2 linked regions of the Canis lupus familiaris genome follow. The protein of the gene in region 1 binds, or shares a complex with, the protein of each later gene. Links are inferred from orthologs where the notes say so. Each region holds a gene or a part of one and is shown on either strand. Other genes may lie near its edges.

Evidence for each region.
Region 2: POLA2 (region 1) and PRIM1 share a complex: the UniProt entries of both Homo sapiens proteins name them as parts of the alpha DNA polymerase complex. The link is inferred for Canis lupus familiaris from reciprocal best matches to the Homo sapiens genes POLA2 and PRIM1.

What each region holds. Positions count from the first base shown.
Region 1 is NC_049239.1:52,394,264-52,401,949, reverse strand, and holds part of POLA2 (DNA polymerase alpha subunit B), read left to right. Parts: intron 1-2,872; coding exon 2,873-2,979; intron 2,980-5,109; coding exon 5,110-5,303; intron 5,304-5,915; coding exon 5,916-6,004; intron 6,005-7,425; coding exon 7,426-7,581; intron 7,582-7,686. UniProt on the Homo sapiens protein: Accessory subunit of the DNA polymerase alpha complex (also known as the alpha DNA polymerase-primase complex) which plays an essential role in the initiation of DNA synthesis.
Region 2 is NC_049231.1:1,312,306-1,319,991, reverse strand, and holds part of PRIM1 (DNA primase small subunit), read left to right. Parts: intron 1-184; coding exon 185-273; intron 274-442; coding exon 443-581; intron 582-3,004; coding exon 3,005-3,074; intron 3,075-3,930; coding exon 3,931-4,022; intron 4,023-7,686. UniProt on the Homo sapiens protein: Catalytic subunit of the DNA primase complex and component of the DNA polymerase alpha complex (also known as the alpha DNA polymerase-primase complex - primosome/replisome) which play an essential role in the initiation of DNA synthesis.

The sequences.
Region 1 (7,686 bases):
GACTTCATTTACTGTGGAAGTATATGCCCTTCCGATGATGGAAATACCACCCTGAGGGCGCCCATTCCCGCCACAGAGGAGTTTAGGAGGCTCAGTTGTGGATCACATTTGGTGACCAGGCAATCAGTTAAGTGAGTCGGTTCAAAAGGAGCAAACAATATGAAATACGTGTCTGAAGCTCAGAGGAGACCATGTGAGTCTGACCTAGAGAAACATAAAATACTAGAACAGTATCTATCACATGGAAACTGCTCAGTCATCATTAGGCCACACATCAATGGCCTCTGACAAAGGAGTCATATTGCCAAATATTGGCCTTTGACACACAAACAGTGCTGCACAAGACTGCCAGACCCTCGTCAGGTTTTCAGAACAGGTCAGTGAGCCTGTGGCATAGAGGCGAGTGTTCCAGTGGCCTTACCTTATCATCATTAAATATTTGACTTGTGCAGTTGATAGCTATTCTTTTGCTTCCATGCTCACCATAAATCCCCTGGTGATAATTTGGCTTTCCACATGTCCTGCCTGACACGGAGGGAATGTGCTAGCCTGCGGATTTGAGGTTCCTGTGCCACCAGCATTATATTTCTAGTAAATTAATAAACTGGCAACCTGGGCTATAATTTGGGTTTTTGTGTGGCATGAGAATGTGCTTACCCTGGGATATGAGACTATGATACCCTTGGTCGCTGTACTTCTCACTACAAGGGAGTAGGCTGGCATGTAGTGCTAATAGCAAGTCTCATGAGATTGATTAGAACGAGTGCATCCTTGAGAAGCATAACTGGAGTTGGTTTGTTGACACTATCAGGTTTCACTGCGAGGGCTGCAGTCAAGGGCAGTGAAATGGCACCATCTCCCAGAGTGCCATCCTCTTGCCATGTCCTGGGAGACAGACTTTCTTTCTCTTGGAATGCTCCCACACAACCTTGGCCCTAGCATTTGACAGCCCCTGTGTATTACAAGAATCGTTTACGAAAATAGTTTGAGAAACTATGTCAAAACCATAAAATTTTAGCCATCCGTTGGCCTAGTAATTGTCTCTAGTCAGAATGTCTCCTAAAGAAATAATCCAGGGGATCCCCGGGTGGCTCAGCGATTTAGCACCTGCCTTCGGCCTAAGGCGTGATCCTGGAGTCCTGGGATCAAGTCCCACATCTGGCTCCCAGTATGGAGCCTGCTTCTCCTTATTCCTGTGTCTCTGCCTCTCTCTCTCTCTCTCTCTCTCTCTCTCTCTCTCTCTCTGCATCTCTCATGAATAAATAAAATCTAAAAAAAAGAAAGAAAGAAAAAGAAAGAAAGAATGAATGCAAATTATGTGAGGGGCTATCCACATGAAGATGGGCATCTTCACTCATCTTTACCTCGTGAAGATTGGGCATCTATAATCACCCAAAATTACAAGCATTCCATACATCCACGGGGTAGAGAAGTAGTTATGTAAGCTACTATATGTATTAATTTAATTACAGCCACTACAAAGGACAAAGGTTGGGATCCCTGGGTAGCGCAGTGGTTTGGCGCCTGCCTTTGGCCCAGGGCGCGATCCGGGAGACCCTGGAATGAATCCCACATCGGGCTCCCAGTGCATGGAGCCTGCTTCTCCCTCTGCCTGTGTCTCTGCCTCTCTCTCTCTCTCTGTGTGACTATCGTAAATAAATAAAAATTAAAAAAAAAAAAGGACAAAGGTTGTGACAATGTGGGAAAGTGTTCATGGTTAATACAGCATGAAAAATATCAGTATATGTAATATTCAAATAAAGGGTTATTATACTTAAACTAAGATTGTAAGTATTAGAAATTATATTTTTTTAATTGGAAAACTATAAAAACACTAGAAAAGAGTATTTAAAAATAGTTATGAGAGTGGTAGCATAAGGATCTTTGTAAGACCTAATACCCATCCTGGCTACTTGATGGTCTGGAGCCCGTTCTCTTGTGTTCTGTTCCCAGTCATCACCAGCAGGCAGCTGTGGTGGCAGAACTTACGTACGCAGCCAGGGGGAGCCCAAGGGCAGGGAATCCTCTGCACACCAGCTGGCCTCCTGGTTGTGGTCCCAGCAAAGATTTTATCTTGGCTCTGCCACAGCCAGCTATCCTAGACTATGGGAAGCACTAGACCTCTGAGCTGTGGGCTTCATCCTCCATCCCGGGCACACCTTTGGATTCTTGTTAATGAGCAAAAGCCAGAAAACAGAAGTGACCATCAATGAGGTGTTTGCTAAATAGTCAAACCAAGAGCTCAGCTGTGCCATCTGCCTGGAGTCGTTCCCTTCTCTAATTTTGAAAACGAGCAGTGGACTTTGCCAAAATGAGTAGTAACGTGATCCCATCCCTCCTCAGGAAAATATGTCTGCCCAGGTCAAAACTCACAACTGTTCTAAAGCAAAAGGAGAGAGACAGAAAGTGACCATGTGAACAATTTGACAGCACGGATTGCCTTCTGGGAAATGTTGATACTTTTTCATAATTGCCCTCAAAATGAGGACAGGACTCCAATGGATTTGGTGATAGCCACTAAAGATTTCTGAAGGGATTATGTTTAGAGATGGGGCCTTAAGAAGAGAACCAGCTGGGATGCCTGGGTGGCTCAGTGGTTGAGCATTTGCCTTTGGCTCAGGGTGTGATCCCGGGATTCCAGGATCGAGTCCCACATCGGGCTCCCTGCATGGAGCCTGCTTCTCTCTCGCCTGTGTCTCTGCCTCTCTTTCTCTCATGAATAAATAAATAAAATCTTTGAGGGGGGGGAAAAAGGAAGAAAACCAGCACAGTCTTTCCTTGGACCCCATGCTTTTCTTCCTCAGGGACTGTACACTCAGGTAGTAACCCAGGTCTGCAGTGACTGGGCTCTTATTTTCTGTTTTGTTCCTAGGGTTCTCAGAAGCGAGCTATCACCACCCCAGAAACACCCCTAACAAAAAGGACCATGTCTACTCGGAGTCCCCATCAACTCCTCTCGCCTTCAAGTTTCTCTCCAAGGTATGGATCTGCATGAATCCAGCTGCCAGACGGCAGGCCTGCTTTCCCCTTTCTGTGGTGGTCAGGTGGCTGACCCCGCAGTGTGACAGTCTCCATGCAGGTGCCTCTGCGGTGCCTGCCTCCAGAGCCTCTTGCTCTCTGCCCTCCCTCCCTACCTTCTCCTGTGTGGAAAATCCCCATGTTTTGCAGCAGTTAAGGAAACTCATTTTCCACCCAGTTTTCTGGGGTTCATTTCCTAGATCAGGAACTGATATCTTCTCTAGAAAACAACCTGTCTATTCACAAGTCTGGGAGTCTCAGGAGTCTTGCCAGTAGAGACAAATAGGTTTCTGCCTGCCTCTGGTAGTTTGGTGTTGTTGGGTTTCTTCCCTTCTTCCTCCCCCTTTTCACCAACGGTATCTATTTTTCAGAAAGTAAAGCACGTACCTGTGTTCATCATGTCATGTAACCTGTTTATTGTCCCTCTCTCAGGTTACAACTAGTTTCTGAGAGTTGGCAAGTCACTGTGAATCTACAAAGACTTAATTGGCATTTTTTCCCTGCTGCCACTTCTGCCCATAAATCCACAAAGATCACCGGTGATGTTTTTTTGAAATCCATAAATGACATGTCTTCTGTTAGAGAATTCCATGGGTGAGGGCCCTGCCGAGTAGAAGAAAGGTTTGGTGCTGCCACACCAGGATGAGGCTAAGGAACTGTCAGCATTAACCATTTAGGGATATGCTACCAGGAGTCACTGCCTATATTGTGGGCCACTTCTAGACGAAGCAGAGCTTTAGATTTCCCAGCTTTGTCACTGTAGAAAGGAGGGGATAGCAGTCATACCATACAAGTGGTCGTGGGATTCAGAAGGACGGGTTTCTCTAGCTTGGTCCCCTGCTACTTTGGGGAGCTTTCAGACTGGTTTTGGAAGCGAGCTTTCCAGACATAGGAGGGCATCTTTGAAACTGGATGGGTAGAGGATGGTTCTCATCCCCTGAACCAGCGCCATTCCAGAAACTTCATTTCACTAAAGGGCCGGCCGTCTTAGCTGTCCCATGGAGCTGCTTTGGGAGGAGCTCAGAGAAGTCGCAGTATGCTGCCTAGGCACTTTTTAATGCACGCTAATAAAGCTGACATCAGAAACTGGTTTTGTAATTTATGAAAGTAACTTCTAAATTATTCAGGTAGAGGCAGCACTGGAGATGGAGATCATTAGTGGAGCTCATTTTCCGCAGCCTCTGTGGACAGGAGAGGTGATGGCACCAGTGGCAGTACTGCCCACATAAAACTCGTTCCTGCAGACTCCCAGTGCACAAAGTGCAGACTGTTTGGAGGAGACCTCTCTGTAAGCGACATCCACAGCCAGAGGATGAGGTGCCCTCACTACCTTCCTAGGAGCTCAGCGACGTTCATGGGTCCCTATTGACCAGTCAGTGCATGGAAATACAAGAACTTGTCAGTTGAGCCTTGGAGAATGGGAATGTTTGTTCACCAGCCAACTGAATTCATTCCATCTCCACCTCCACAGACACTGGGAAAAGTTGATTAATTGTTCTTAACTTCATTTTATTGTGTCTACCTTGAACTATATTGTTAAGTATTATAGATCCACAGCAGCTTTGGGCTTATCCACAGCCAGGCTCTCATGTTATTCTAATAAATGGTATAAAAAAAAAAAAAATCATCAGAGAGGCGCCTGGGTGGCTGAGTCAGTTAAGCATCTGCCTTAAACTCAGGTCATGATCCCGAGAACCTAGGATCGAGCCCCTCTCCCCCTGCCCTTCCCCCTCTCGTGTTCTCTCTTTCTCTTTCTCTCTCTCAAATAAATAATCTTTAAAAAATTTATAAGAAAGAAAAGAAAGTGGAACTTGAAACTTTTTAATCCATTCAGTTTGGTTTGGTTTTGCTTTGTTTAGTTGTAAGCCAGGAGAAAGCCGTTTAAAATATGTCTCTGTCTCTAAACTTAAACTCATTCCTGAAATTCCTTAAAGGTTGGTATGTCCAGCCCCATTAAGTTGATTAGATTTATAAAATGTGAGGCCAGCTTGACATTCCTCCAATCCCCATTTCTAAAAGGTAACCTTATTTTATTCCCCTCTCTCATTAGATAGGAATACAGTAATGCTTATATGTTTTGCTTCCAATCAGTGCTACTCCCTCTCAGAAATACAGCTCAAGAAATAACCGAGGAGAAGTGGTTATCTCCTTTGGCTCAGCACAGGGAGTGTCTTGGTCTGGAAGAGGAAGGGCCAGCAACATCAGCCTGAAGGTCCTAGGGTGTCCAGAATCACTAACTGGGAGCTACAAATCAATGTTTCAGAAACTTCCAGATATCCGAGACGGTAATTGTTTTTCTTTTTGCAACTCTGGAGAATATAAAACTACCTAGAAAGGTCTAGAGTGAGTAACAAAGCTTCAGCTAGGCTGGTACAACAAGTTCCAAGGTTGCCTTTGAATACAGAGTTGGTAGATGTCCTCCAGATGCCCCTAGAAGTGGAAGGACATGAGGTGACCCTCTCAGTAATTCTACCAAGTCACTTTGCTTCCCTAAAGAAAAAGCGCAGAACATTTTCCAGTGACAACCATTTGAACTGTGTAAAAGAAGCCAAATAAAGTCAAAGACATTTTTGGTTTCTTCCTTGTAAAGAATGGAAGATTCTCTAGATTGGACTTGACTCCCCCTAAACCTCACTGATGACCGGAGTAAAGGGAAGGCTGGGCTGTGGGCATCTGTGCTGACTCTAGGAGATTGTGCCCCATGATCCATGGCCAAATGGAAAGCCAGCTCCCACAACCAAATATTGGTAGATTGGCTAGGGCTTTAGAAAGTGGTCCTGGGCACCCTCCTGCTTCTGTAAAATGACTGATTGCAGTATTTTACAATGCACTGTATCTTCTCCTCTTGGCAAGTGAAATGTTCTAAACATAGTACTTTTTCTCCTCTGGGCTTTCAGTTCTGACCTGTAAGATAGAGGAGCTTGGCAGCGAACTGAAGGAACATTACAAGATTGAGGCTTTTACTCCTGTTCTGGTCCCAGCTCAGGTAAGAATTGTTCTCATAGTCCTTCCTAATTAATTTTGTATTTTTAAACTGATGGTAAAAAAAAAGGTATCCTTGCTTCGTTTTTCATTTCTTGTCTTCATTCTAGTGAGAATATCTATCTTGGTCAAATTTTGTAAAATGGATCCTTCTGAAGAAAGACTTAGAAGTGCTCTCTGGTTTTGTGATCAGAGATGACCATTTTCTTTGCATATTTTTTTTAAGATTCTATTTATTCATGAGAGAGAGAGAGGTAGAGACATAGGCAGAGGGAGAAGCAGGCTCCATGCAGGGAGTCCAACGTGGGACTCGATCCCAGGACTCTAAGATCATGCCCTGAGCCAAAGGCAGACACTTAACCACTGAGCCACCCAGGCATCCCTTCTTGGCATTTGGATTAGGGTCTTGCACATAGCAGAGACTGAGGCGAGACAGGTAACTCCCTAGAGATGCTCTACAAATAGAAGCGTTTGGTTACCAGGATATGAGGACAACAGCAAGCGTAGGGCTTCCAAAAACAGTGACTCATAGTCTCTCCCCCAGTTTGGTTTCTGTCCTTTATAGATCAACTGTTGCCAGTAGTATCTTTAATTGTAGTTTAATCTGGCATATGTTCCAGTGCTTTCTCCCTGAAACATTTTTCTAATCCAAAGGGAAATGTGTTCTAGAAGATTCCTTAAGTTACCTCTGTCATTGTTTACATTCAGAGAAGATTCACCATAGGCAAAACCATGTCATGTAAGGAAGTTTATGAGGAATTGGGAAGAAATGGTGGAGTGGAGGCAGGGATGTTCAGTCTTGTGGGAAAAGATTAGACTTCCTCAGTCTGCCCCCAGGAGTGGGAACAGGATAGAGGAAGCCACAGGGAAAGAACTTTCAGCTCAATTTAAAGAACTTCCTGTTAAGAGACAATATGACGTGTAGTTAAGAATATGGCTCTGGAACCAAACTTCAAACCCAGACTTCACCCAGTCTCTGACCTTAACTAAATTATGTAACCTGTTGCTGATTTTTCTTTCATAAAATGGGTACAATAGTAGTATCCAACTCACTGTTGTTATGAAGATTAGACAAGTTTACACACATAAGTCTTTAGAACAGTGCCTGGTACTCAGCTCAATAGACGTGAGCTATTGATGGTTAAAACTATCCAGAGATGCAGTGGGCTGCCTTGGATTACAAGGACCTAGTTTCCCTTCACTAGAGATGCCCAAGTTTAGATGACCACTTAGAAAGGCTCAAGCACCTGGTGGGCAGGCAGACCAGATGCCCTGAGTCCCTGATGGTACTTGTCAATATGTCATTATGATGCCCCACCAAAAAAACCTTTCCTGCTTGGGGTTTGCTATGCTGTTCGTTCTGTCGACTCCAGATTTTGAGCTCCTATCCCAAAGACGGTCATTCTCATGTCATACCTTCGGCAGGAGCCTGTCATTCTGCTGGGCCAGATTGGCTGTGATACCAATGGGAAGCTGAATAGCAAGTCAGTGATTCTTGAGGGAGACCGGGAACATTCCTCAGGGGCCCAGATTCCAGTGGATTTATCTGAGCTCAAAGAATATTCTCTGTTTCCCGGACAGGTGAGATGAGGTGTGCTGTTTACTCTATACTGTATGTGGTGGGCGGGGGTAGGATGAGCCATTTCATCACTGGCTGCCTCTTACTTTCATCCTGTGGTACCATGA
Region 2 (7,686 bases), on another chromosome or scaffold:
CTCTGTGTGACCCTCATGAATGAATGAATGAATAAATAAATAAATAAATAAAATCTTAAAATTTGCATTTTAGAAAACCATAATTACTTTCTAATAAACTTTTGAAATCCTTGTGGTAATACATACTGAAAACAAGTTGTTCGTTGATGTGCCCTAAATGAGTGTTTCCTTAATGACTCATTACCAATTCATGAGAAACTTCAACAAAACTTCCAGAAGCATCACAATTCACTTCAGCGTTGGGAGTGTTTAAAGAAAGCCATCAGCTCTCAGGTATATTCCATTGAAATCTCTATTATAAATATAATAATGTAATTCTTAATTAAATTCTGATTGTTTTGCTTAGTAAGTTAAAGAAGTTAAAGAGCATTGGAAGCCATTTTTTAAAGAAATCCTCAAAATTCCTAACTGATCCTCACACTAGACTTGCCTCTGCTTTTAGGATATCAAAAATGACAAATGTGGGCACTGGCTTGAATTGGAAATCATGCTTCAGTACTGTTTTCCACGGCTGGATATCAATGTTAGCAAAGGAATCAATCATTTATTGAAGAGCCCTTTTAGTGTTCATCCTAAAACAGGTACAGTATAAAGAAAGTAAAGAAAACTAGAAGAAGGGGATCCCTGGGTGGCGCAGCGGTTTGGCGCCTGCCTTTGGCCCAGGGCGCGATCCTGGAGACCCGGGATCGAATCCCACATCGGGCTCCTGGTGCATGGAGCCTGCTTCTCCCTCTGCCTGTGTCTCTGCCTCTCTCTCTCTGTGTGTGACTATCATAAATAAATTTAAAAAAAAAAAAAAAAAAAAAAAGAAAACTAGAAGAAAAATGAGTTCTTTTTTATTTTAGTAAGCATGTCACTCAGTGTGAATACATTATGACATCTGAGATATATGAAAAATTGAAAGACTATTAGGTAATACCTAAATTATTTTTTAATTGTTGATTAGTAGCTACCAGATGAGTTTTCACTACATAATAATTTTCATCTGGGTTTCTGAGGTTTAGTGTTGGAATTATAGAGGAACTTAGAAATCACAGAACAACAGCTCTTGTACAGATGAGAAAACATTTGTCCAAGAGGTTAATGTGACTTGTCTTAAAATAAATTGTGTCAGAGCTAGGAACAGAATTCAGTTCTTAAAACTCAAAGTTCTGTGCTTTGCCCACTATGCCTCCTCCCTCAGTTCTTTTTCCACAGTTTTAGCGTTCTTCCTTCACATTTCTCTTAAATATGTTTTGATAGACTGAAACTGACTTTAAAATAAATATAAAAGGTGCTATATTGATATAAACTTTGCATCATCCACCCAGGAAACATACATAGTTGTATATAGTTGTCCTTTTTAGCATCAATAATCCAACTCTGTCACTCGTGTGGGATGTTAGGCAAATTTCTCTCTGTGCCTTGGTTTTCTCATCTGTAAATGGAGATAATATAGTACCTACCTACCTCCATGGATTTTTTTTTTTAATTTTTATTTATTTATGATAGTCACACAGAGATAGAGAGAGAGAGAGGCAGAGACATAGGTAGAAGGAGAAGCAGGCTCCATGCACCGGGAGCCCGACGTGGGATTCGATCCTGGGTCTCCAGGATCGCGCCCTGGGCCAAAGGCAGGCGCTAAACCACTGCGCCACCCAGGGATCCCTTATGAAGATCTAAAATGTAAAGTGCTCGGAAAAAGTGTCACACATTCAATTCTCCCAACTTGCCTAGTTTCCTTTAATGATCTGTAATGATTCTCTAGTCCATATATTAGAATAAGCCCCTTTCCAAACTTATCAACTATGTGTTTTCAGCTTCTTTTGGTAATAAGCTTAATATTTCTTTTTTTAAATTTTTTATTTAAATTCAATTAATTAACATATAGTATATGATTAGTTTCAGAGTAGAGTTCAGTGATTTATAAATTCCATATAACACCTAGTGCTCATTATATATTTGTTAATTTTTTTTAAAGATTTTATTTATTTATTCATGAGAGACAGAGAGAGGATGAGAGGCAGAGACACAGGCAGAGGGAGAAGCAGGCTGTCTGTAGGAGCCTGATGTGGGACTCGATCCCTGGAATCAGGCCCTGGTCAAAGGCAGACGCTCAACCACTGAGCCATCCAGGCGTCCCTATATTTGTTAATATTTATTAAACCTAATTCTAGAGCTTTAGTGGGTATCCCCTTATTCTAATATCCAGGGTTTGGGTAAATAATGATGTTCATATGTATGTACATTTTGATTATATCGTTTTCCCATTAAGCAGCTGCAGTCTTCAAGCAGCAACTCTCAATTCTCCTAATTATTTTACTTGCTATTTACTTGGCATCTTTTAGATTCATTATCTCATTTCTGCGATGTGATGAATTTTATGAGGTGTTCCCAGGTGTGGATATTATGAAATGGTAGTATAATGCTGTCGACTTTATCTCTAAAATGCTTTCCAAAGATGCCCAACATATAGGTGTCTGTTCTGATCTCACCAAATAAACCAAGTTAATGAAATGAACTATAACTATGTTATTTCATTTTCAGGACTCACTAATTTGATATCATTCTGTACTTATATATAAAAGGATATTAGGAGGAAGGAGATAGAAATAAAAGTAGAGGGATGCCTGGGTGGCTCAGTGCTTGAGCATCTGCCTTTGGCTTGGGTCATGGTCCTGGGTCCTAGGATCAAGTCCTGCATCAGGCTGCCTGCAGGGAGCCTGCTTCTCCTTCTGCCTATGTCTCTGCCTCTCTGTGTCTCTCATTAAAATAAATAAATAAATAAATAAATAAATAAATAGATGATAGATAGATAAGAGCACTAGGTAATAGCTCAACAGTCTTTCATACCTATTTTTTAAGAGAAATTAAAAGCGCAGCTAATGTGTAAGTAATTTCTAACTATTGTTTTTTTTAACAGATGAGTCTAACCCTTTTTCTAAGCCTTAGATTAAAGTTTAGCCAAAATAACACATTAGATTGTATTTTACAATCATCAATTTATAACTTTTGGTTCTTACAGGTCGAATTTCTGTGCCTATTGATTTACAGAAAGTAGATCAGTTTGATCCATTTACTGTTCCAACCATAAGGTATGTTCTAGATTATTGATTTTTTTTTAAATTTGTGATTGTTATTCTAAATTTGAAGTAGATTGAATTAGATCCCTTCCAGAGAGGCAGCTGTTCTGAGGCTATATGATGATGCCCTAGTAGGGCAACATTTCCTAGTGAGTTCCACAGAACACAAGCTGCTCTTCTCTAATAAAAAGATTACAAGTTCAAATAAGTTTGGGAAATAACAACTTAAACAGATAAAACGTTCTTTACTGTAAGATTTCCTAATTTTCATTATGCATGGAAAATTCTAACAAGAGATTGTGATTTTTAGACTATCCCAAATTTAGTTGGTCACATCTTTTTTACAGAAAATCTTGTGGGATTCATGTGCTATCACACACTGGGTAATGTTGACCAAGAACCAACTTTAAAAAATTTTATTCTAGGTTGCCTGGGTGGCTCAGTCACTTAAGGATCCAACTCTTGATCTTAGCTCCAGTCTTGATCCCTGGGTCATAAGTTTAGGCCTCATACTGGGCTCCACACTGAGCATAGAGCCTACTTAAAAAAAAAAATTGGACGCCTGGGTGGCTCAGCAGTTGGGCGTCTGCCTTTGGCTCAGGGAGTGAGGTCCTGGAGTCTTGGGATCAAGTCCCAACATCGGGCTCCGTGCATGGAGCCTGTTTCTCCCTCTGCCTGTGTCTCTGCCTCTCTCATGAATAAATAAATAAAATCTTTTAAAAAATTAGAATTCTCTTATTCTGGGGCACCTGGCTGGCTCAGTGGGTAGGGCATGTGACTCTTGATCTTGGAGTCATGAGTTCAAACCCCACATTAAGTATAGAGTTAAGAAAAAGTTTAAAAAATTATCTTATTCTATTATTTGTAGCTCTATCTGCCATGAATTGGATGCTGTTTCCACTAATGATGAGGGAAAGGAGGGAAACGAAGCTGAATCTGATATCAAACATAGAACCAGAGGTACGTTAATATATTGAAGTCTCATTTTAACATGTTTCTTTTTTTTTTTTTAGCAGTTCTTTTTTTTTTTTTTTTTTAAGATTTTATTTATTTATTCATGATAGACACACAGAGAGAGAGGCAGAGACACAGGCAAAGGGAGAAGCAGACATCATACAAAGAGCCTGACGTGGGACTCGATCCAGGGTCTCCAGGATCACGCCCTGGGCTGCAGGCAGCACTATACCGCTGCGCCACCAGGGCTGCCCTAACATGTTTCTTATATAGACATCCTTCTGTCAGTCGAGTAATTAATTCTCTTTGGATTCAGCCCAGAATGGATCAATATTTATCCTGAAACCACCAAATAATAATATATAATATCATAATATCATGTAACATGATATCATGTTAACAAATAATATCATAGCAATGTCCATTCTTCATCAATTAGCCGGAAGGTGCTGTTGAATCCAATTTAATCAACAGATATTTACCAAGCAACATCTAAATGCCAGGATCTATACTATAAGATTAAATTGTCAATTTGTGTTGATAGTTGTTTGACTCTCACAATCTTAGGTTCAACAGCTACTTATTTAACAACTACTATGTATGCAGTACTTTTGTTCTTTGTTTTTGATGTAGATAGATGAGTGTTATGGTAATATATATCTAAACTGTGGTTGAATTATATATTCAAGATTTTGAAGGAGCTAGGGAATTTATAAATCTTCTGCTAATAGAAGCCAAATCTTTATATAACAACACCCAAGAGACACTCTATAGCCACAAAGCCAATAGAACTTCCTGTGATGATGGAAATTTAATGCACTGCTCAGTGTGGTAGTCACTAGCCACATGTGGCACAATCCACCTGAATTGTGAAAACTGGATTTTCAATTTCATTTCATTTAAAATAGCCACATGTAGCTGGTGACTATTGTAATAGTGCAGATCTGTGATCTCTGACCTTTCTTGGTCAAATGATGCTACCTTCTGTCAAAATCCAAGCTCAAATATCACTCCATTAAAAAAAAAATCATTTCATCTATTCCAGCTCTAACATAATACCTAAACATAGTACATTTCATTATTAATGTTTGTAGAATGATTACAAGCATTCTGTGTAAGGTATTTGAGGGGCACCTGGGTCGCTTATTTGGTTGGGTGTCCCAACTCTTGGTTTTGGCTCAGGTTATGCTCTCAGTCATGGGATCGAGCTGAGTCTGGCTCAGACTGAGCGCAGTGTCTGCTTGTCCCTCTCCCTCTGCCACCACCCCCACACTTTCTCTCTCTCTCTCAAATAAATAAATAAAACCTTTTTAAAAAATAAGTAGTTAGGGGCACCTGAGTGGCTCAGTGGTTAAGCATCTGCCTTTGGCTCAGGTCACGATTCTGGGGTCCTGGGATTGAGTCCTGCATCAGATTCCCCTGCAGGGAGCCCGCTTCTCCCTCTGCCTATGTCTCTGCCTCTGTATGCCTCATGAAAAAATAAATATTTTTTTAATGTAAGTAAATAAAGTATTTAAAAAATGTCTCCAACATGAAAAATCAGAATAAACTGGAAAAAGGCACTCAGAGAAAACAGATAATGCAAGGAATAAAGAAAACCCTTATTTTTTAATTTTTTTTAAAGAGCACGGTCTTTTTTTGGTGTGTCTTTTTTTTTTTTAATTTTTATTTATTTATGATAGTCACACAGAGAGAGAGAGAGAGGCAGAGACATAGGCAGAGGGAGAAGCAGGCTCCATGTACCGGGAGCCTGACGTGGGACTCCATCCTGCGTCTCCAGGATCACACCCTGGGCCAAAGGCAGGCGCTAAACTGCTGCGCCACCCAGGGATCCCGAAAACCCCTATTTTTTTAAGTAATGGGTTAAGTCATCTCTGTGCCCAACATGGGGCTCAAACTCACCACCCAGAGATCAAGAGTCCTATGTTCTAACTGAGCCAGCCAGGTACCCTGAAAACCTTTTTTTAAGAAATTAATATCCTCAGAGGATAAGGGAAGATAGAGTATCCATGAAGCAAGATCAGATGTATCCATCCGGTGCATGGAGCCTGCTTCTCCCTCTGCCTGTGTCTCTGCCTCTCTCTCTCTCTCTGTGTGTGACTATGAAAAGAAACAGAGAACAAAGAGGTCTTAGAAATCAGAAACATAATCCTTAGAATACAAAATTCAGTGGAAGAAAGTAGTACAAAAAAGATAAAGATAAGTTTGTTGTTATTTTAAAGAGGAAAATGATAAAGGAAATCAGAAGAATGGTTCAGGAGGTCTCCTATCTCCTGTTGTTTCAGAAAAATAACAAACAAGGAGGGAAAAAATATCAATTATATAGGAAACCATTGTGAAAATGGGCCCTTTATTGAAAAGGTTCAGCATAAGAAAACAAACCAGCACCAAGGCACATCATTTCGAAATCTCAAAACACTGAGAATTAAGAAAAGAGCTTTCTGACCCCTTCCTACTTGTCCCCACAAAAGCCACAGACCTAAGAATGGCCTCGAATTTCTAAACAATTGAAGTGTTCATTTGCTAGAAGTAGATACTGGAAAAGAAAAAGTGGTTGCCATTCAAGAGGATGGAGAGGTCAGAATTAGAGCAGGAAGCTGCTATTTTTTCCAGCCTGTTAGTATTATTTTATGCATAGATTACTTTAACACAATTTTTTTAATATTAATCTCTTGATAGACATCTTTTTTATTCAGATATTTTAAAGAGAAATTTTCTAATATAACTATTCAAAAATAAACTAAACTATCATTTCAAGTATTCATAAATAGTCAACAGAGGTGCTTTAGAAATGGTGGGGGGTTGGAGTAAGTGATATGTAAGTTCCCTACTATTGTTTTAGTTTCTGTGATTTGAAGCCTTTGTCCTTTTTCATACTAGTACCATTTGTTCCTGCCCTTCTTCCCAAATCCTGGAATATTCTCCTCTCCTCTCATTGTATCTTTTTTTTTTTTCTTTTTTCTTTTTTCTTTTTTTTTTAAGATTTTATTTATTTGAGAGAGAGAGAGAAAGCACAAGCAGAGGGGAGGGGGCAGAAGGAAAGGGAGAAGCAGGAAGCCCAATGCAAGACTCAATCCCAACACCCTAAGATCATGATCCAAGCTGAAGGCAGATATTTAACTGACGAGCCACCCAGGTGCCCCTTCTTTTTCTTCTTTAAATATTTTATTTAGGGACTACCTGGGCGGCTCAGTGGTTGAGCATCTGCCTTTGGCTCAGGGTGTGATCCCAGAGTCCCAGGACAGAGTCCGACATGGGGCTTTCTGCATAGAGCCTGTTTCTCCTCCTCCTCCCAATGTCTCTGCCTCTCTCTGTCTTTCATGAATAAATAAATTCTTTTTAAAAAATAAAGATTTTATTTTTTTTATTATTATTATTTTTTTAGATTTTATTTATTTATTTAAGAGAGAGGGTGCAGGGGATCCCTGGGTGGCGCAGCGGTTTAGTGCCTGCCTTTGGCCCAGGGCGCGATCCTGGAGACCCGGGATTGAGTCCCATGTCGGGCTCCCGGTGCATGGAGCTTGCTTCTCCCTCTGCCTGTGTCTCTGCCTCTCTCTCTCTCTTTCTGTGTGACTATCATAAATAAATAAATAAATAAATAAATAAATAAATAAATAAATAAATAAATAAATAAATAAATAAATAAATAAATAAATAAATAAATAAATAA